Alligator mississippiensis: one gene and its partners. The protein of the gene in region 1 purifies or fractionates together with the protein of each later gene. This does not show direct contact. Links are inferred from orthologs where the notes say so. Each region holds a gene or a part of one and is shown in the gene's direction. Other genes may lie near its edges.

The links. Proteins that work in one complex are often made in the same cells at the same time.
Region 2: the proteins of CD151 (region 1) and ITGB1 purify together in Homo sapiens (affinity purification with western blotting; 4 studies listed by BioGRID and IntAct, with this or other methods). This does not show direct contact. The link is inferred for Alligator mississippiensis from reciprocal best matches to the Homo sapiens genes CD151 and ITGB1.
Region 3: the proteins of CD151 (region 1) and ITGA3 purify together in Homo sapiens (co-immunoprecipitation; 4 studies listed by BioGRID and IntAct, with this or other methods). This does not show direct contact. The link is inferred for Alligator mississippiensis from reciprocal best matches to the Homo sapiens genes CD151 and ITGA3.

The regions. Positions count from the first base shown.
Region 1 is NC_081825.1:184,108,465-184,116,120, forward strand, and holds the start of CD151 (CD151 antigen), read left to right. Parts: upstream 1-4,632; 5' UTR 4,633-4,750; intron 4,751-7,656. UniProt on the Homo sapiens protein: Structural component of specialized membrane microdomains known as tetraspanin-enriched microdomains (TERMs), which act as platforms for receptor clustering and signaling.
Region 2 is NC_081828.1:193,421,645-193,428,571, reverse strand, and holds the start of ITGB1 (integrin beta-1), read left to right. Parts: upstream 1-3,918; 5' UTR 3,919-4,020; coding exon 4,021-4,029; intron 4,030-6,927.
Region 3 is NC_081827.1:169,511,167-169,518,228, forward strand, and holds the start of ITGA3 (integrin alpha-3), read left to right. Parts: upstream 1-4,053; 5' UTR 4,054-4,162; coding exon 4,163-4,332; intron 4,333-7,062.

The DNA.
Region 1 (7,656 bases):
GACCTCCCCCACCCAGGGGCCCTAGACATGATACAATGCACGAGCCCTCCCTCACCATACCACAGGAAACCCTGATTCACCACAGCACAGGGGTCCCCAGTGTGCTGTGCAGGCTCCCTATACTGCTACGTAGCCCTACCATGTGTCTGCACAGGGTTTCTAGGTTCCTCTGAGCCCTCTGGCCATGGGCTCTCTCAGCCCTTTGGGCTGTGCTAGTCTGCCCTGCCCCTAGGGGTGGGGGCAGACAGCAGAAGCTGAAGAAGGGAGGGGAGCATGGGAACTCTGGTGGCAGCAGCAAGAACAAGAGCAGGGTGATATGTGGGCCAAGAGCCCAGGGGCTGCACGTGGCCTGTGGGCACCCATTTGGACAGCCCTGCCATAAATTACTGGCTAAATGACATCTAATGTAACAATGCTTGTTATTGGCTAAATGACGTCTGATGTGACAGTGCTTGTCCAAATACAGGCAACTCTAGACTTCCAGATACTCTGCATCAGACCCCCACCCTAACTGTATGAGACTATTAATATACAGTACTTCAAGGCTGGGAGTATTTACCTCCTGCGTTTTTGGCTTGCCTAGTACGTTGGACTAATCTCTCAAAGTTTTTATCTGTAGCCAAGAAGGATCTTACTTAAATCCCATGACTCCTGGAGCTGGGGCTTTAAGAGAAGCACCCAGTTGTTGTGCAGCTCATGCTAAAATCACCAGAGCAGGCAGCACTGGTTGTATGTAAGGAAAGGCAATTTGTAAAGTCAGGTTATGTGGGCAAGTTCATGCATCCTTCACAAAATAGCTTGCAAGATCAAGGCCTTTGTTTTGAAGACAGCTGTTAGAATGCATGGGACCTGCTTGCAAAATCTACTCTGTCCCTGCATGAGTTGTATTCACTTGCTCCGTTTTATTGGGATTGAGCAATTGACGGATTTGCTTATGTCTCCACTAACAGTTGTTTGGCAGTCAGTGCCTGGGGGTAAGAAAGGTGAACTGGCTGTCTGATGCCAGTGGAAGCTTCTGCCTTAATGCCAAGCTAATGCAGGTGTGGTGGGAGTTCTCCAGAGGCAGTATCTTGTGTGGATTTTTTTTTGGGAGGGAATATTTTGTTCCCCAAAGATGCCAGGCCTGGGGTGAATCCAGCTGACTTCACTATGCCTTCACATGGGAGCAGCTTTTGGCAGAAGCTGTGAAGCTGCTTGTCTCTCTGGCATCTACAGTCCTCTTGCGTATTGAGTTACTTGCTTATATTATATCAGGATAGGGTCTGTGAGACACGGTAGAGTAATGGCTTTGTTGACTTGACACGCTCGGGATCTCAATATCATGCTGTCAGGCAGGAGGGCATGACACAAAATTATATACACAAAATATTCATATGAAAATTATTGTTCTGCACACATATCCATACATAGACACACACTCGGGCAGCTGCATGTTGGTGCTTGCGGTGCTTGACGACTAGGAGAAATTCCAGGGGCAGAGCAGGGAATGGAGCCGGGAGCAGGGTGAAGAGCTGGGACAGGAGGGAAGCCAGGGGTCAAGGCGGCAGAGAGGCCAAGGGCTAAAGCAGCAGAGAGGCTGGGATGAGGATCAGAGGAAGCAGAGAAACGGGAGTGTTGGAGGCGGCAGAGAGAGAGAGCAGGGATGGAGGTGAAAGAGAGAGGAGATGAAGATCAGAGGGGCGGGGAGCAGAGTTTGGTAACAGTTTTATTAGAAAAGGGGTAACACAATATTTGGATTACAAATTATTGGTTCCTGCACACACAGTTACAGTCATGCGCTCACACAATGGTAGCAGGGGAGAAACTGTTTAGTAGAGAGATTGAAATCAAGGGGTATAGAAACAGAGCTCAGGTCCCTTGTGTGGAGGGAAGATGCAGGTGATAGATACCTATCCAGGCTGAGTCGATTGTTGATGGCCAGTCGTGGTCTTCTCCAGCAAGGTGTTGTCCAGAGGGGGTTTGCCGGCAGGGCCTCTGGGTGGATAGGTGGTATGGTGTAGTGCTGGTTCAGATGGAGAGGGCATCCCAAGGAGGTCGCACTCTACCACCCTTTTTATAGGGGTGGGCTACCTGTGACTCTAATGGGGAGGACATGCCCAGGCAAGGGCCAGTCCTGCTCAGATGAGGACATGCAGTTCCATGTCCTCATTGTTTGGTGAGATACAATAGTGGAGTTGCTGGTTTCTTTTCTGTTCTTTGTTTCTATGTTGCTGGTTTCTTGGAGGGTCTTTCAAATATTGGGTTTTGTCTCTGGTTCTGGGAGTAGGTCTGTGGTTTCAGAAAGAGTCACTGCCCAGAAGCAGAGGCAATGTCCAGCTGTCATGATTGCACTTATGCAGCTGCCAGTGGTAGCTGCTTTTTGTTTTGCCCCCTGCCTCCCTCCCCCAAGTTGGCACCTGGGGCAGTTGCCCCCTTTGCCCTGACAGGTGCCCCCTTTGCCCTGTGGTTTCAGGGAGAGTCAATGCAAGGCAGTGGTAGGGTCGTTAAGTTGATGGTCCGGTTATTCAGTAGGAGCTATTTTTAGGCCTGCTACCATTATGTCTCAAGCACTCTCATTCACCCAGGAACCAATTTACATGGGAGGTATAGGTACGAGTCACAGTTAAAACACAATTACAATAGGGTATACCCGGGCGGGGGACACAAAATGGAGACTTGACAAGACGAGATGGAGACTTAACATTACTTTGGCTAACTTGCATAAACAGGCCTAAAAGATACAATATCAATATAAAACAGTAAAAATGAATACAAATATAATAGGAATACAATATAAACCAATAAAAATCAATACCAAAATAATGGCACTATTTACAATGATACATGGACAATATAAAAGGGGCTTGTTACAGTAATGGAGAGCTTATCCTATGTTCGTAACTATGACTTATCACAACTACTTATAAGGAATAGAGAGGGCAAAGAGAAAGTCAGAAATGGTTGGAGAAGGGAGGGAATGTATTTTTAAATTAAAAAAACCTCAAACAACCAAAACTGGGGGTTTTGCTACAGCTTGTGGTGGGACTCTTCCAAGCTTTGCCCTCAAGAGTCAGTAAAGGGAGAGGCTGCCCAGATGCATGTGACTGCATTGCTGCCAGTCTCCCTTAATGTCCTTGAGCTTGGCTTCTCTTCCACAGGGTGTGAAAATCTCCCTGGGCTTGGTTAATGAACAAGTGGCATCTATGGCATCAAAGGAAAAAAAATTAGCCTTTCACTCCTAGCAAAACAGACACAGCAGGAGACCCTTCCTCTTAAAGGAATGAGATAACTCAAATGGCAGAGCTGTTAAAGATATGAGGAGGGCAAGGTCCATTTTGCATTCCAGGATGTCTGCATCAGGTTGCATTTTTGGTGAAGTTTTCGTGGAATGTGAGGGTTAAACATTAAATTTTTTTTGTTTATTTTAAGGAAATAAAGTCCTGGCAACTTGGGGATTCAGAGAAATGAGGAGGGGGAAGGAAAAATGTGTGTTTTGTGGCCTTTCCTGTGGGGTTTATTTTTAGTATCCAGTAACTTTCCAAGGACAACAGTTTCCCTAGGCCTTAAAAAATGCTTATGCTATATTATCTTATTTTAGTTGGGAGCCAATTTTTTTTGGCAGCTGTGCCTCAAATTAGCCCTGTGACACTCTGATTCCCTTCCTCTGTACCTTCTGCGGCTCTGCTTTGTGCTCTATCTGCTACTGTGATGCTTACCCTCTCCCTGCTGCATGCCGCACAGAGGCTACCCAAGTCACTTGTGGCATGTGTGCTGCAGGTTGGCCACCTCTGTCTTATTTAATATAGAGGTGGCTCTCTATATATTATATATAGAGAGAATTTAGCAATGCATCAGCATGTTATATTCTGTAAAGGGGGAAGGTACTGTAAGGAGTGAAGGGTTGGGGACTGACGTTATTCTTCACTCTACTTCAGTGATTCTCAACTGGGAGATCCTTTTAAGGGTAATTTTCAGTATGATCACTGTTAGGTGTGCAAACACTTGAACTTGATTCTCACGATAAACCCAGCTATTTCAAATAGGAATCCAGAAGATCAAAACCATTTTGCCCGGTTGTGGTCTGTCGGAGTTCTTTGCAGCAGATGAATGCTCTATCGTTTTTCTGGGTTGTTTGTTATTGCTGTGTTGGTCTAAGGACATAGGCAGACAAGACTCTCTGGGTAAATGTGATATCTTTTATTAGACCAACTTAATAGTTGTAGAAATTGTTCTTTACAAGCTTTTGGGCACAAGCACCCTTCTTCACGCATAGGGAGAGTGCATATTGGCTTCTGTTCCATCCAGAAACTATTTAAGTTGGTCTAATAAAAGATACTGGATTCACCCAAAGAACCTTGTTTGCATATATTTTTCTGCAAGCTTTCGGACTCACACGCCCTTTGTCAGGCTCAGGCAAAGTTCAAGATGGTAAAAATTCCCCATAAGTAGGAAATCAACTTCATTTTTGCACAGAGGGAGCTGAAGCTAGAAGGAGGAGAGCTACTGCTCTGCTCTGAGCAGCCCCCTACGCCTGCGTGTGCCTGGCTGAGGCTGGGGGTAATAGTCACCATCTCCCACTAGGCGTCTCTGGATCTGAGTTGATTCAAACAGTTAATCACGAAGGACTGGGGACGGGGAGGGGTTTGGGGAGGCGGCTGCAGAGCAGGGCTCTAGGGCTGTTTTCACTTTCGCTGCAGCTCGCAGGGTGAGAGGCTTGGTACTGCTCTGCCCTGCCCCAGCCCTTCCTTGGCACCCGGATCGCTTGGAAAAGGTAAAGAGCGGTGCCAGGAACCCCCTGATCCTCTTGTGGGGGGGGGGGGGGGAGGGAGGAAGCCCACCTGGAGCAGCAACAGCAACAAAGTAAGCCCTCCTCTCCTCCCCCCAGCCCTGGACTTTGCAGGGGAGGTTGGATGGGCCTGAGGTTGGTGAGGCCAAACAGTAGGGGGTTGCTCCGTGTTAGGGATGGGGGCATCTGTAGAGAGAAGCTGGTTGCTGTGCTGTAGACATGACCCTGCCACCCACCTCGCCTCTTGTTTAGATGTGGAGTGAGTGTGTGCGCGTGTGGGCGGAGGGAGGATGGGGGGGTAAAACTCTTCCCTTCTTCCCCCAGCAGCCCCCCCTCCAAACTTGCTGGCTTGGCCCCAGGTTTTTCCTTTGGTTTTTGGGAAGGGATGCAAAGAAATGCAAAACCACATGGGTTTGGGCTGACGCTGCATTAATCTCGAGCCTTTGAGTTGCAAAAGTTGAGACATAAGCCCCCCCCCCCTGCAAATCGATTCCCCCCTCAAAAGTTTGCTTCCCTGCTTAGAAGAAATGCAAACATCTAGCACTCTTGGTTCCAAAATGATACCTTTTATTAGACCAACTGAGAAATGGCAACAAAAAAAAATATTTTCCAGAAAGAATACTTCTCAGCTTAGTACAGGTCATATCCTGAAGCCCCAGAGCAGCGCTGAGGTGGTGCCTTTGAGAAGGCTGTGGATCCTTGCCAGGCAGCATCTGTGATGTTCTTGAGAAACCAGAACTTAAAAACAATGTCTTTGGCTCTGTCTGAGCGCATCAGAAAAGGCTCCTGCCTGGAAGAGCTTGTAGTCAAAGGCCCTCACCTCTAATTGCATCAATTTTTTTTTGTGGGGGGTCCTCTCTGTTACTAATGGGGATCTATGGGAACATGGCATCACCTTGTATTTGTTGAGAAGCAGGACCTTTTCTTTCTAGCCCCAGACCAAGGCTTCATAGCAGTAAGGGCTGGGAGCACATTGCACTGCATACCTGTATCATTAGGAGCCTTTGAGGCACAGGAGCCTGAGAGGGTGGTTGTTAGTGGAAGGGAAGGGGAGGTCCGAGAAGAGACCTAAAGGGAAAGAGCAAGGTGTCTTGGCTCAGTGGCAGTGGGGTGGGTGTTGTAGGAACCAGATGAAGGGAGGTGTGGGGTGTGATATGGAGACCAGGAATAACTGAGGATAAGGAACCAACTTCAGCTTCATGATTGATAAGGAGACAGTCCAGCAAGGCAGAGAGGTGGAAGGAAGAATGGCATGTGTGAGGGTGGTGAAGGGGAGAAGAGATGCAGGGAGAGGCAGTGCTTTGCAGAGCCCTTTGGCCAAGTGTCAGCTGGGTGGCTGTATGTCTTACACCAACAGAGTAGAAAAGCCCGATTTCTCTCTAGGCTGTTACATGGCCTAGGCCAGTGATTCTCAATCTTTTTTTTTGGTAACAGAATCCATTTGTAAACACCAATAGCCCAGTGCCCCTCACTCCAGCCCCCCAACATGGGGGGCAGGGGGGCCCCAGTCAGCCCCTCGCAGGCTGGAACTGTGCCAGCTTGCAAGGGAAAAGCCACAGTTTCCCATGTTTTTCTCCATTTTTAAAGTCTGTTAATTCACTTTTAAAGTTTGTTCGCAACCCTTTCAAATATTCTTGCAACCCACTTTTGGGTTGCAACCCACAGGTGGAGAAATGTTGGCCTATGCTGTGCCATTCTTAGAGGTGATGATTGGAGGCAGAAAGAAATTAAGGAACTAGCTCAAGGTCTCACATACATGCAATCTCTTGAGGGCTCTAGGAGCATAATCACAAGATCAGCATGAGTTGGCTTTCTAAAACTGGCCTACACTCTATTTTTGCACATGTCGAGGTGGCTTCCCACTTCACTTGGAATTTCAAGGTTTGTCTAAACTCCGCTTCAATAGAGGGACTGTGAGTATTCTTAGATTTTGCTGAAGGGCACTTACATCTCTTTCTCTTGTTTGTTAAAGGTTCCCTTCTATAGAAAAAAGATTTGGTTGGTAGGCTAATTGGTGAAATCTTTGTAGAGAGCTCTGGGCTGAGTGGAGAATGAATTTACCAGCAAATCCACCCTGTTATGTCCTGTTATTCTTTTTATCTTTGCACTACTCCCTGCTTCCCACTTCGAAACTGGGTAAGAGCAGCCATGGCTGAAGATTACTGTAGCGTCACAGTGTTGCTCGCCATGCATAGTTTTTATCCAGCAGCCTTTGTTCCATGGTGTCTAATGAAGAGGATTATCGATCGTCAGAATGTCTTGATCACAGAAGCTCTTGATAAGAAATCCAGCTTAATATAGAGTTTGGCACTTAAGGGTTGTATATTTTTGATGATGAGCGCTCAGGGTATCTTATGAAACTCTTTACCTTACCCTATTCTAAGTTTTTTTTGGTTCTGGGATTTCACAAGATTTCATGAACCCCTTTTTGGGCAAAAGGGGTTCATGAAAGCAGTGTTTCAGAGGTGATGCTGTTAGAGATGGCAGCCGTTTTATCAAAAAATCCTATAAGGCACCCTTCTGCGACCCTACTATCAGAAACTGGCTTCTAAGATCTATGATACTTGTATGAATTTAAGTTCTAAGAGGCTGTCACTGTGACAAGACATCATCTTGATAATAGTAAAACAAAATGGTGCTTTTACTTGTTCCCATCAACAGTGAGATTGGACATCTTCAGTCCCCCAAAACACCTGCTTATGATGAAGGGGGCATAACAACTTGCTGTTGGGATGTCTGGTTTGTGGTGAAGAGAAGGTCTGGACCACATGCCCATGATCCTAGGTAGGACTACTGAGTGGCAGTGCAACACTAGTGATATGTCTGTCGCCATGGGCCATTAAGGGTAATTCAGGACAGACTGGGTGTTACTTTTGTGGACCAAGACGGAT
Region 2 (6,927 bases), on another chromosome or scaffold:
TAAGTGACCCTATTTTCTAATAATAAATTCAGTGTTAAGCTAGTCTTTACGTTTAGCAACTTCTTCATTCTTGTACCATTGCAGGCACATACCCATATTCTGAAAAACTATCAGCAAGGCCGTCTAAAGATTCTCAATGTATTCCTTCCAAAAGCATATAGAACATGTAGGCAGGCATACATTAACTGGGGCAAACACAGGAGGACTGTACAGACCTGTTTTCAGGGACGGAACTGGAAAAAAAAACTAGTATAAAAGTGCTAATGTGCTTCAGTGGACAGAGCGCTGGACTTGGTTTCAAGGGACTTGGGTTCTATTTCTGACACTGACCTGTTCTTCCCTTTCTCTGTCTTGCTTATATGAACTGCAGTTTCTCTAGGGAAGGAGCCATCACCTGCCACACGCAGTACCCAACATGCGGTGTTTAGATTTCAGCTGGAACCTCTAGGCACTTCTGTAAAACTAAGTATTCTTTTATAGCACTCTATCTTTGAAAAAGTTTGCAAATACTGGCTAGTTATTACTCATATTTGTCTGCCTCAGATTATATTAATTATCCCATTTTACAGATAAGGAAAATGAGACAACAACGCTTAGGGAAGAGGTTCTCAGACTGTGGTTCATGGACCATCGGTGCTTTGGAGAGTATTTATTACTGGTGAGCTTATCAAGTTTATTGCCTGATATCAAATACATTAGAAAAATGAAAAAAAAAAAAAATTAGACATTTTTCTAAAATGACTCCTACATGCAGTCAATTACTGTACTTACCACAGAGCTATTACAGTCACACATGGGAGAGTCATGTGTGCACACTGGTGGTCCATGAAACAGTCCCTGTAGTAAAATACAGTCCACACATGAAAGTCATTGAGAACCCCCAAGTTGGGTCAGAATCAGTGGCAGGGTAATCATGAATATTGGAGCAAGATGACACCACCTAACTAAACCAGATGTGCCCACTAAGCAACTCTATACACAAAACATACTGTAAATATTTGGAAAACTGTATCTAAGATACTAGAATTCATAAAGCTGTTCCTGCCAACTTCATCATCTATGCACAGGAATTCTAAATTTTTACACAAATACAGTTACTTTTTCATTTTTATGCATGTTCTTATCCAGTATCTAACGGATGCATTTCTATTGCATCCTAGAAAATGTACCACTTTGCTGGTATTGCTAGTAGGAATGTACATTTTACAGCATGAGCATGTATTCCTTACAATATTCACAGCAAAAGAATATACACAATGCCTTTTACTTTGAGCACAAATTACTAATTATATGTCTTTGCTGCTGTGCAAGAGTAATCCAAGTAAATGTGTGAAATAGCATAGAACTATATTATTAATTTAATTCAATAATTTAAATCCACCCATTAACATTCAAATTTAGCATATATCACCTTGTAAGCAAACTCTGATCAGATTACTACCTTTATAACTGAATACAGATTTATTGTAAAAAATAATAATTTCCAACAATACTACAAAATTCTTACAAACACATTTAATTTAAAATTTAGTAACCCAGTGAAATCAGTCCTGACTTTACACAGTGGTTTTTCTCTTTGTTTACTGTGTTTAGTTGGCACACTGTTGAGCAGCACAGTCATGACTTATCTCCATGCCACAGTATACTACAACCAACGGTAGACTTTGGGGTTGCATGGGCTATGAACAATGCCAGGAAATGGAATGAGCAGATTATGTGCTGTAGTCATCCCGCCCACATGCAACCAAGAAAAGAGACCTAAATCTGATTACCTGCTCAATGTAGGTAGTGCATCTTTCCTCATCCAATTCTACCAGCAGTGAGAGATTGCACTTCAGTTAATTCACTGTTTTTCCCTATGCCAATTTGTTTGTACAGTGAATTAGTATCAGAGTGCTTAGTGAAAGACAAAGAATCAGTAAGTTGTGTCCAAAGCTCTTATCAGTGTCAACTATAGCTGATAATAGTGAGTGGCCATGAACAGGCATTCACTTCTGCTTCTACCAGTGGAAGTTTCTGAGTGATCATACAGGCACTCAGCCTGCCACCACCCTCTCCCCTTCTCAAGATTAGGGTGATCCTGGCCTAGGGTGCGGTGACTGCTCCACTTCTCCCATCCCATTCGGGGGGGGAGGGGGTGGAGCAGTGCAGAAAGGCTCCTTTACTTCCACAGACCAGACACGCAGGTCTGGGGAACAGGTGGAGTCCTTCCCTACTGTTCCACTTCCCTCCTGTAGACTGGTCAGGCAGCCAGGAAGTCACTGGCCTGGCGAAGCACAAGGAGCATTGCCCACTACCCCAGGGAGACCTTTCCCAGCCCCCACTGGGTAGCGCAGGCAGCAAGGGTAACCCAGCAGGGGCAGAAAAAGAGCTAGGAAGAGGTTCCTAAGCCCTGTTTCCGGCCCCAACATCACTACCCTGCTGGTAGTCCCTAGTTTGGGGACGAAGTAGGGGGCAGAAGTACATCACACTGCTAGTAGCTCTAATGCTGCCCTGGTAAAAAAGTGCCAAGGGCAGGGGAGTCACAGTAATTTGTATCTGCCAAGCAGAATACAGAAAGCAGACAAGTTAGTACTTTATTCCTCAAGTTTTAACCACTAGAAACCAACAGTAGCATCTACCAGAAAAGGCCTTTATTGTGTATGTCACGGTAAGATCAGTTCAGATTTCAGTGCAAGATAACTAGCATGTAGAAGAGGGATGTCAAAGATACTGCCCATGGAGCCCTATCATTCAGCCTGAGGTGCTGCCCGTGGTTCTCTGACTGGACCTAAGCACTGCATGTAGCATATGCTCCAGACCACCCAGAGGAGCTGGGTGCAGGGACAAGCAGGGCAAGACCACCCTTCTTTCTCCCTGCTCCACCCCCTGCCCCAGAGGCACAGGGGAGTTTTGTCCAGGGTGCAAAAAACTCATTAGTTAATGCCTCTACTCCTGCTTGTTTTAGGTTTATCAGAAAACCCCAACACAGACTGGAGCACGTGGCGACACACTGGTGGCAAACGAGAATAAGGAGAGGCAGCAAACAGTGGCTCTGAACCAGGGATGCCGGCAAGCTGCAGGGGGCTGCCCTGACTTGGATACGACCCAGAACCACTGCACTATGAGACTTCTCTCAGCACCAGCGCTAGTCAGGGATACAAGCAGAAATCAGTAGTGTAGACATAGTTATACCAGGAAAAAACCCAACTTTTCTTGGTACAGCTCATCTCCCTCATGGGAAGCAGCTCTAAACTTTGTCTCCAACCCACAGCTGTGCTGAGGAAGGAGCAGGCACACCAGGATGGGGTTTACTGCAGGGATACAGGCAGGGGCAGAGGGGTGCACTTGCACTCCCCCCCAAAGGTTACAACCAGCCGCCTGGCAGCGACAGCAGCCTTTCTAACCAGGCAGGGCGGAGGAGGCCGTTTGACTTCATGGCTCATTACAATCTACTGGATCCCTTCTCAACTCTTCCTTCTCTTCTTTTTACGCAGTCCCTGAAGCTGGCCTCTGCTCTGCCACACTGCTGCTCCTGGGAACAAGTGCCCATTTCTCCACCCGGCGGGTGGTTTTCCCCTCCTTGCCAGAAGCTGGATTTGGTTTTGCTGCCGTCTTCAAGGGAACAGTCCAGCCCTAGGCCCGGGCCTCTTCCCCCGCATCTCCTTCCCGTATCACCGAGGGGAAACGCGGTCCGTGCTGTTCTCAGCCTCCGCGCCCCGACCCCAGCTCCTCCACCCGCCCCCGGCCCCGGCCCCGGCCCCGGCCCGGGCCCGCCGCCTCAGGCGCTGCCCCGGCCCCAGCGCCCCCCACAGCCCGAGCCCGAGGCCGGAGAAGCGGCTCCGCCTGACGCCAGCGGGCAGGAATGCGCCCGCGCCCGCCCCCGCCCCGGAAACAGCGCGCGGGGCGCCCGGCCCGGCCCGTCCCCGGCCCCAGCCCCGTCCCGGCCCGGCCCTCCCCCGGCGCGGCGCGGCAGCACCGGCACGAGGCGGCGGGACAGCGCCACGACACGAGCCTGCGCCGCGAGGGGCCGCCACGGCCATGGCCAAGGTAGGGGCTGGGCCGGGCTGGGCTGGGCTGGGCCGGGCCGGGCCTCTGCGGCGGCGGCCCCGGGCACTTGCGGAAAGGGCCGGGGCCGCTTGTTGCGGTGTCCGGGGCAGGCGGCCCCTTGTGCGGGGAGGCCCCGGGCGGGGACAGCGCGGCCTCCGCGGCGCCGTCATGGCCGGGACAGCGGGGAAAGGAGCGCGAGCGGGCGCTCCCCGGCCCGGCCCGGCCCTTTGTGTGGGCTGGGAAGAGGTTGCCTCGGGCCCGCTCCCCCTGCTGCCGAGCGGGTAAGGGGGGCTCTTCCCCGCTCTCCGCGCCCACTGAGGGGGGGGGGGTGCGCGACTCCCGCCTGCTTCGGCGCAGGGCGGCCGGGGAGGATCCCTGGGCCCCCCGCAGGGAGCTGGGTGCCAGACCAAGGTGTGGGCCCAGTCAGGCTGGATCCTGAGCAGGCTGCCCCGGTTCTGGTTTGGTGGGGCACGTCTGGCTGCCGACTCAAGCCGTCCAGCAGGGCTTGTTTGCACTTTTGCTGGGCCTGCCTTCAGCGTGTCAAAGCAGACACAGCCGACCCGTTTAGTTGCTGGCCTGTGTCCTGGGCTATATCTGTTTTGTTACCCCAGCAAGATCTAATTCAGACTATCCCTGTTTCTGGGAAAGTAGAAGTCCCAGAGAAGGAGGCTATCACACAGCATGCGCACAGACACCACAGTTATTTCTTTATGCAGAGAGGAGATACTCAATTAGAGGTAGGATTTTTTAATATTCTGACTAAATACCACTAGTAAGTAAGTTAGGAAATATCCCCTGCAGTAGGACTTTAGCAGTCATAATAGCAATCAGCAGAGGCACAGTCTAAACTTCTACACTCATGATGATGAAACCAATGATTCATTTTCTGGTCACAAAAATATTACTTACCCCAGGGCAAATGGGTAATTGGCATTTTGCAAGACTGCCTGAAGCTAACTTGTAAGGCTTGTTGAAGCAGTGAGCAATAAGCAACACGCAGTCAAGACATGGCAAGTTTAAAGGGCGTTTTAGTCTTAGTTTCTGTCTTTTTTGAAGTATTTAAACAGTGACAGGGTTCTAGCCTGCAGGGCTGTCAAGCAGGAACCCATCTTCACAGGGAAAGAAATTACTGCTAGAAAATACTTCAGTACACTGTCTGTGGCTTAGTGGTTTGATCATGGGGTTAATACGTGTGAGAGCTGAAGTCATTTGCCTGCCTGCCCGCCCAATTTACTATGTGACCCTGACCAAAGTCACTCTCTCTCTCCACATGAGCATTAAACTAACATGAAGAAAAAGAAATGTCAATTGGATCCATCATTGATAAGCACTTTGTAATCCAATTAGAAAAATTCAGACAATAGCTTGAAGTATTCATGCTTTTTCATGATTGTTAATCTTTTATCCAATCCAGTTTGAAGTATCCCAAGTGATTGGTCATCTGATATTTCCCTTGTATATGTAGTCAGCTGGAGGACTGAGTACCATCCCCCACCCAGAGCTTTCCTGGATGTTTAGTACAAGTTTCTTTGTTCATGATTTCATCCCATAATGCCTCAGAATTCTCCTCTGTAGTCCTAGGATAGGTCTGCTACACTATACTGAAGTGTAGATGACTATGCTTCTCTGCACCACACTAAATGCCTTTGTTACTTTTGGTATGAATAACCTGTTATTTGTAAAATAGGCATCACCTTTCCCTTCACTCCCTGTCATGGTTTAGTAGAGTTGTGGTACTTATTTAGCTTTAACATCTTCATGAGAAGTTGGTCTTGTTACTATTTTCTGAAGTCTCTAGTTGTCAATTTTATTTAATTTTTAAGATGCCAGGTTACTATAAATAAGTGAGGGAAGTGCCAGGTGTAGTTGTACCAGGAACTTTAGCAGGCAGGACTGAGGTCCACTCAGAGGAGAAGTTCCTTTGAATGATAAATTCAGAATTTGCAACAAAAAGAAGAATCAGTACAAGGAGGCAGTCTCGCCCATTAGACTGTTGGCGCGGGGGGGGGGGGGGGGGGGAAGAAGAGAAAAAAACCCCAAAACAAACCACACTAGTCATCAAGCTATCATTATTTAATATTAGTCATCAAGTCGATTAACTCATATGCAGTTCCAGGCACATGGTACCAGAAGGGACAATAGGTTCAGTAAATTAAGTTTGGAACAGTCCAGCAGAGCCATAGAGCCTGGGCTTGACACAGATGGTTTCAATTTCTCTCATTCCCTGGATTGAATGAAGTTATATGGACTCCTTATGCTTTGGAGCAAATAAGGCAATAGCCAACACAGTCTAGCTGACCAACCCAACAGGCCTAGACTGAAGAAGCCCTGTCATTTTTAGCACCCCCAAGATCCAGGTAGCAGACTGCACTGTGGTTTGGCTGGATCTGGTGATGGAGCTCAGGTGGAGAATTTTTCAATCAAATACACCCAGTTTCTAGGAACATTACTACTTTAGGATGTGCTTTCACAGACTTTGTTTTAAGCATTAGTCAGAGTTTAATTTCAGCTTTTCCTTAGGAGACAGCATCAGAAGACTCCATTTGGTTCGAGACAGAAGTTCGATAAACTATTTTGACTCAAGTCTGATAGTACATTTCATAGATTTCATAGACATTACGGCTGGAAGGGACCTCGGAAGATCATCGAGTCCAGCCCCCCGCCCAAAGGGCAGGACGTCAGCTGGGGTCATAGGATCCCAGCAAGATAAGCATCCAGTTTCATCTTGAAGGTGTTCAATGAAGGCGCTTGAACAACCTCCGGCGGCAGGCTGTTCCAGACCTTGGGGGCTCGGACAGTAAAGAAATTCTTCCTTATGTCCAGCCTGAAACGATCTTGTAGTAGTTTGTGACCATTCGACCTTGTCATCCCTTGGGGCGCTCTGGTGAACACACGTTC
Region 3 (7,062 bases), on another chromosome or scaffold:
GAGTCACACATGTTTCTTATACATAGTTTTCCCTGAGCTGTGGGAGGAATCCTCCCCCCCCACCTCCCCGCAGAAAGACCTTCCTCTTCCTCAGGCTCCTGACCACCCCTTCCCTGCAGCCCTTCTCCTCTGGCTGCAACCATTGTCCATCATCCATCCAGGCCGTTCCTGACAAAGGGACCCCCAGTCCATATACCTGCCTCCCCTTTAGCATCACTTCCCTGTACCATAGTGCTCTGGCCCCAGCCATACTGCACGGTGCTCAGGGTGAAAGCCAAGTTGTGCATTTCAGGAAGGGCGTCTCCTTCCCAGGGGACAAGTTCATCCAGGAGCCTGCTGGGGGGTGGGGGTGGCGGTGGGGTGGGAAGGTGAGGGGAGGTTGTCTGACATTTGCTGGCAGGCACGTCCATTCCTGGGGGGAGCTGGGGTACATCATCAAGGAAAGTGAGTCAGTTGGTCAGCAGCCCTGAATTCTGGAGAGCATCATCGTCCCTCTCGTGGCTGCTGATGTCTCTCAGAGGAAATGTATTCCTGCTCTTTACTGAAGACAGGGTGAGTGCTAAGGTAGCTGGCAGGATATAAAAAAGGCTGCCTGCCTCTGATGTTGGCTCAGCCTGGAGTGCCTGGCACGGCAGACCTACTTCCATTGGTTGGGAAGCCTCCTGCTGGCTGCTTGGTCAAAGGTCTCTTTCCTTCCTTGTGCAGGGCTCAGATGAGGCCATGCCTTTTGCTGCACTGGCTTCCTCAGTCCCCCAGGCCTGGGCTGGCAGGGAGAGATTCTGCCTGCCCACAGGAGGGGATTCTCCATTGCCCTGAACCGTGGGAGGTTCCAGTAGCATCCGTGCAGAGTGTGTGCAAGGCCAGAAGTACATTATATGGGTGCAGATCACTATGCAAAGTAGTTGTGACTCTTTCAATCTTCCCAGTTCTCACGGTTGGGACAGAGTGCTCTTAAATCCAGCTGAGCTGAAGGTGTTCTGCCCTTAAGAGTACCTGCTTCCTTCTTAGGGACCAAGTCACCTTCTCCATCCCTTATCACTCCCTGACCCCCATCAAGGGCAGGGCTTTAAGTCTACAAGGGCTGGGCCAGCCGCCCACACCTACTGGCACTGCACAGGCAAATATTTGCAAAGGCGCTGGGAGATAAAGACACCACTGCCCTGGTGGGTCTGGATCCGTGCAACCATGGCTAGAAATACAAAGCCTTCTTTTGTGCCCAAGGCTCTTGGGGATGGCAGATGGGGAGTCCAGGTCTACAAGATGGCTGGAAGGAGAGTAAATGCAAGACAAATGGGGCTTGGAGCCAGGGACTCCTGAGTCCCAGCCCTACCTCCAACAGCTCAGCTCTGCAGTGGAGAGGAGCGCAGTAGTGAGGATGGATGACATGGTCCTTGCCACTGATCCCCCATGCCAGATTGGACTTTGGTGGCCTGGACTGGATTGCTTTGCAGGCTGGATCCAGCCTATAGGCCATAGGTCGCCACGCGCTCCATGGCCTTGACATGTATCACTCCACCATTTACCGAGCCCCGTGAGAGCTATGGCAGGAACAACTCAGATCCTCCTGTTCCAAAAGCACACGCCATTTCTCCTGCTGATTAAAGGAGAGCCTCCCTCAGCTGTATAGGCATATGACACACAATCCAGCAGTTCCAATTTCATCCAGTAGAGAACAATTAGTGACACAAACCCCTGCTGTAAGTCAGGATTGGTCTGAATTGCAAAGTTCAGCCCCAGGGTTTTGTTTTAGGACTAAATTCTCTTGATTGAAGGAAGATGAACTGCATTGAGTAGATCCCTTTTTCTAGCAATATATTATTTGTGTTGTTTCACTGCCTGGAAACCCCAGGTATGGATCTAGACCCTATTGTGCTAGGTGCTGTACAAACCCACATACATCCAGATCATAGAAAAGCTGCTTTGAAACAATGCTTTGAGGGAATAGTGTTGAAAACCACAGGGGTCACATCCTGCTGTTGTCTAGTTTGTACTTATCATTAAGGTGTTTGTTGTTGTGGTTTAGCTAATGCTTGGAAGAGAACAGCCAGGAAGGCCAAGGGGCTGAGAAACCCCACAGGAAGCAGACCTCCCTCATTCTGTATCTGTCCCCAAAGCAACAAGCATAAGCTTGCCAAAATCAAAGCGTGGGCGTGGGAGCAGCCACAGTGCTCAGCATCAGCATTGTGCAGATGCTATTCTAGAGCGCAGCAGAAGCGATACAGTGGTTCATACTCAGGGATGGTACACTGCAGCCTGGAGGGGCATATATCAGGTCAAGAGGTTCTTGGTTGCAGTGTGTGACACAGCAGAGTAGCATAGTTGCATCAAGGCAACCTCTCTGCACATAGCAAGACTTAGATCCTGGTGCTTCCTTGTCCTGGCACACCCCTTTGGGGCTTCCTGTTAACCACCCTGCGGCTGAGAAGTTGGAAAGTGAACCCAGTGGAAGATAGCACGTGGCTGCTGTGCACCCTTAATTCTGCCCTCTATTCGTGGGGGTGGAAACGGAAGTTTCTGAGGTCATGACCGCAGTCATCTGTGCTGACTGGTGCAGGTTGCCAGCCTCACGTGGGCCTTAGAGTGCTCCCAGTGCTGTGAAAGTGGAAGCTGCCTGCAGCAGAACCGAGGGCATTAGAGCAGCATGAAGGATAGCGATTACACATGGGCAAAGGCTGTTTTCCCTACACAGTCATCTCCCCCATGGAAATGCAATGCAAACCCCATACCTTTTTTTTTTTTTTGGAGATACAGTGAATGTTGGATTGACAATGATGCTGGCTCCTGCTGTACCATGCATGTCCCATCCCCCCCCCCAGACTTGCAGATAGTTTGTAGAGGAAAGTCCTCCTCCTGCAAATCCTGGTGTGTGAGTGCAGTGAGTTGGCTTGCAGAACTTGCCATCTTGACCAGCTGCAGGGATGGAGATGGAGAGCTCAGCAGGGGTTGGGGTCCTGTGGAAATAGCTGCAGCATTGGGCTTTGCTGTCCAGGTATGTCCCAAAAGGGATGGTGCTTCCTTGCAGCTCAAAGGCCACCTGGGTTCATTTCTAATTAGGGCCTTAGGATGGTAGAGCCAGGGGCTCAGTCTCTGAGCACGCCCTTGGTGGTCTGCGCACGCACTTGTACAGGGCTATTGCACTGCGGTGAGCAGTTATGGTGATGTGATTAATTCTGGTCTCTCCTAACTTTTGAGTCATTGACGCAGCACTCTCCTCTCCTTCCTGGCCTTTTGTTCTTAATCCCTCCTCAGGCTTCAGTGTAGTGTTGTGAGTGCACAAGGTGTGTTTCAAAACCTATGAAATGGGGCAGCTGTCCTGCCAGTGGGAAGTTTGCACTGCAAAACCAGCCTTGTGGCTGGGCTGGGGGACGCCAGCCAGAGCTTCTGAGCCCTGGTGTGCGCCTACCTGGAGTGCGCCAGGCTGCCACCCCTCTGCCGCCTTGTCCCGAACCCGCTGCTGAGGTTCCCCCCGCACCCTTTTTGTTACGCCCCGCCAAGCCCCAGGACCTCCTGGCCACCCTCCTCCTGGCTCTGGCCAAGCCGGGCACCTGCAAGAAGGGGGCGCGGGAAACCGCCGGGCTCTTCCTCACTCCTCCTGGCAGGGTTTGACTGCTCCACGTCCGCAGGCTCTTTCAAGGGGCAGTGGGCACTGCTCCGTGTCCCCCTCCACCTCTCCAGGCATGAACCTGCGACCTCCCTCCCCTTCCTGCTTTCTCTCTATTTGTGGCTGAAGTGTGCGCGCTGGGCAGGCTGGCAGTCACTCCTGGGGGGCCGGAGCCCACCTCACACGGGCCAGGACGGGGATCGGGGCCGGGCCGGGCCGGGCCGGGCCGGCGGGGAATGGGGACAGATGCCAGCTGCGGGCTGCCGCCTGCCAGGACACGGCGGGCTCCCCTCCTTCCGCGGCGGGGGCCGCCGGGTCCTGCCTGGCTCGGAGGGGGCCCGAGGACCGGGGCGGGCGCGGCGCGGCGCGGCGCGGCGTGGGGTGGGGGGGCGGCGCCCCCATCCTCCTCCCCCGGGGCGGGGCGGGGCGGGGTCGGGCCGGGCCGGGCCGGGCCGCGGAGGGGCGGCAGGTGCCCGGGAGCGCGGGCGGGCCCTTTAAGGCTGCAGTCGCGCCCTTCCCCGGAAGAAAAGAGCGGCAAGGTGGGGGCCGGGCGGGTGGATCATGGCTCCCGGCGTGCGGGCGCTGCTGGCGCTGCTCTGCCTGGCCGCCGCCGCCGCCGCCTTCAACCTGGACACCAGCTCGCTCGTGCTCAAGCAGGGCGGCGGCGCCCGCGCCTTCTTCGGCTTCTCTGTGGCCCTGCACCGCCAGAGCCAGGGGCAGAGCCGCTACCTGTGAGTGCCGGGCGGGCCAGGGGGCGAGGGGTGGCAGCGGCAGCCGGGCCAAGGGCTGCCCTGCGATGCCCGGCGGGGGACGGAGCAGCAGCCAGTGCGGGGCGCCGGGAGGCCTCGGGGGCATGAAAGGCTGGCACTCCCCCGTGCCTGGGTGGGAGGGGAAATTGTCTGTCTATGTGTGTGTGTATGCATCTATCTCTCTATAGAGGTCTAGCTATATACACATCTGTCCAGGGGTGTACTTGGTAGCCGTATTGGTCTGAGATGAGAAGGCATACAAAAAACTGGAACTCTTGGTTCCAAAATGGTCCCTTTTATTTGGGATAATAAAAGGGATCGTTTTGGAACCGAGAGTTCTAGTTTGCTGTGTATCTAGATCTGTACACTTTTATATCTCTCTTGCATCTATATATAGATATGTCTAGAGATGGCTAATAGATGTGCACGCGCACTAGCTCAGAGTTTCCTCTGCTGGCGTCTTGATTTAGTGGCACTGACCTGCCGGGAGCCCTCTCTCTAAGCTCTCAGTGTCAGGATAACGTGCTGGAGTCCGGCAGTGCCTGACTGAGAGCGAACAGCCTGGGATTAGTATTCGCAGGGAGAGGCGAGGAATTCTCCAGGATCAGTTGGGCATTCCTGCAATGCTTCTCTGCGTGGGTCAAGCCCTCCCAAAAGAGGACAATCTGTGGCTCTCTCTTGCTGCCACTCTTTTGCCCCCAGATCCCCACTCCCTTGGGCAGCTTGTTTTCACTGAGAACCTGGGCAGCTTGCTTCAATAAACTGGGAACCTGACTTTCCTTTCCATTCGCCTCCTGCAGCCTGGGTAGATAGTGGCTGGCTCCTTGGACAGCAGCATCATGCTGGCTTGAGTAGAAAGGCCGGTGCGATGCCCATATGGTCCTGTGCTGTCCTGCACCTTGCATGAGCATTGACGCCCCTGCCCAGTGTTACTGCTCGGAGGCAGTTGTGCAGCACAGTCACTTTGCAGTAGCAGAAATGTCTGCATGAGAGCCACAGGGACTCGGGCCCCTTGGGGGTTTTGAAGTCGGGAGCCAGCTGGAGGGTCTGTCTCTTCTATTGAAGCACAGATCTTGTGCCCGAAAGAGAGCTCTCACTGCAACAGCTGCAGGGACTGAAGGCATCTGCTCTGCATTCCAGAGATTCATGCTGAACGCTGGCTCTCCGTGGAGTGTGGGATTCTTTTTTCCCTCTCAAGAGGGAGTGCGCTGGTTCTGTGTTGCTCCCTCTCTAGAACAGCTGCTGTGTTGGGGAGGGGAGGAGGTGGGTTCTTTGCAGGGAAAGTTGGCTTGCAGACAGGACCATGTGCGGTAGGAGTTGACGGTTGTCGCTGGGCCTCCCCTGTGCTTGGGAGGTGTTGAGGGAGTGTTGTGCAATGGTTAGAGTGCTCAGTTAGGGCTTGGGAGAACTAGATCTAGCTCTGTGCTGTGCCAACAGGCTCCCTGTGTGCCCTGTAGCAAGTCACTTAGTTGCATTATGTTCAGATCCCTGCATGGAAGTTGAGGATATTAGCCTTGCTTGACTCACCAGGGGGTGTACATGAGACCTGGGCCAAGCCATCTTGCATGTGCCATGGAGTAAGGGCATATTGGCATTCATAACTAACGTGGAACCTATTGCCACAAGGATGTCTTGGAGGCCAGTAGTATAACCAGGTTCAGAAAGGGATTAGACAAGTTTTTGGAGGGGAGGTCCATTGGGCAGACTTACTACTGAAAACTGGCAGATTGTCACAGGGGATGCATCATTCTGTATGTGCATGCCATGGTTATTACTCTGATCCTGTAACTACTCATTTGCTACTTGCCCCTGTTGGAGACAGGCTACTAGGCTGGGTGGACCCAGGGTCTGACCCAATGTGGAGGTTATGATGATTAGTTACAAAACAGCTGACGCATTTCACACTTACCCCCTAGCTTACCTTGTGGTAACTCGTCTGCACAGTTGTGCCCTTAGGTAATGGAGTTAATAACACAGAGGGATCCAGACTAATCTAAAACCCACTCTTTTACAAGGCTCTTTCCTCTTCCCAGAACACTCTCACCTTGGGTTGGCATGGGACCCAAATAGACTCTTGTCCATGATGGAGACCAAGTGAGTGGATCCTGTGAACCAGAGGATCTTTGCAGTGAGCCCACGGAATAGGGGCTCTTGCCAACTCCTGCTGCTCCTAAATCTGGCTCTGCACTTTGCTTCTGCTCCCCAAAGTCTGAAGCCTGCCCCTGATGCCAAGCTCTGACGTTCTGATTCATGCCAAATACTGGCTGCTTAGACCCTGCCCCAACTGAGAGATTCTTCCAAAACCATGTCCTTAATCCATCTATGAGATCTGGTCTCCCAGCTGCATGCATTTGGAAGGCATTTGCTGTGACTCCCACACATACTCCCTGTTTACTGCTCAAGCAAGGTTCTTCCTAGAGTGGGAGTGGAGGGGCCTACAGGGACAATCATCTGTGGCTGGGGATGAGGAGGGAGTAGGTGGGATGAATGCAGAGCCGCACATTCCTGAGAAGGACGGCAAGGGGAGTCCGAAGGGCAGCAGCAGCTTTTGCAAGCCTGACCTTGAGCTGGTCCTTCTTCTGTGTATGTGTTAGCTTTGGGATGAAAAAGTTGAGCAACTGGGTGCTAAAGGGCAGGTATGAACTACCTGCATCCCCACGTGCAGTGCTGCAGAACCAGCTTGCTGGGTTCCTGGCTGTGGGTGAAAAAGGG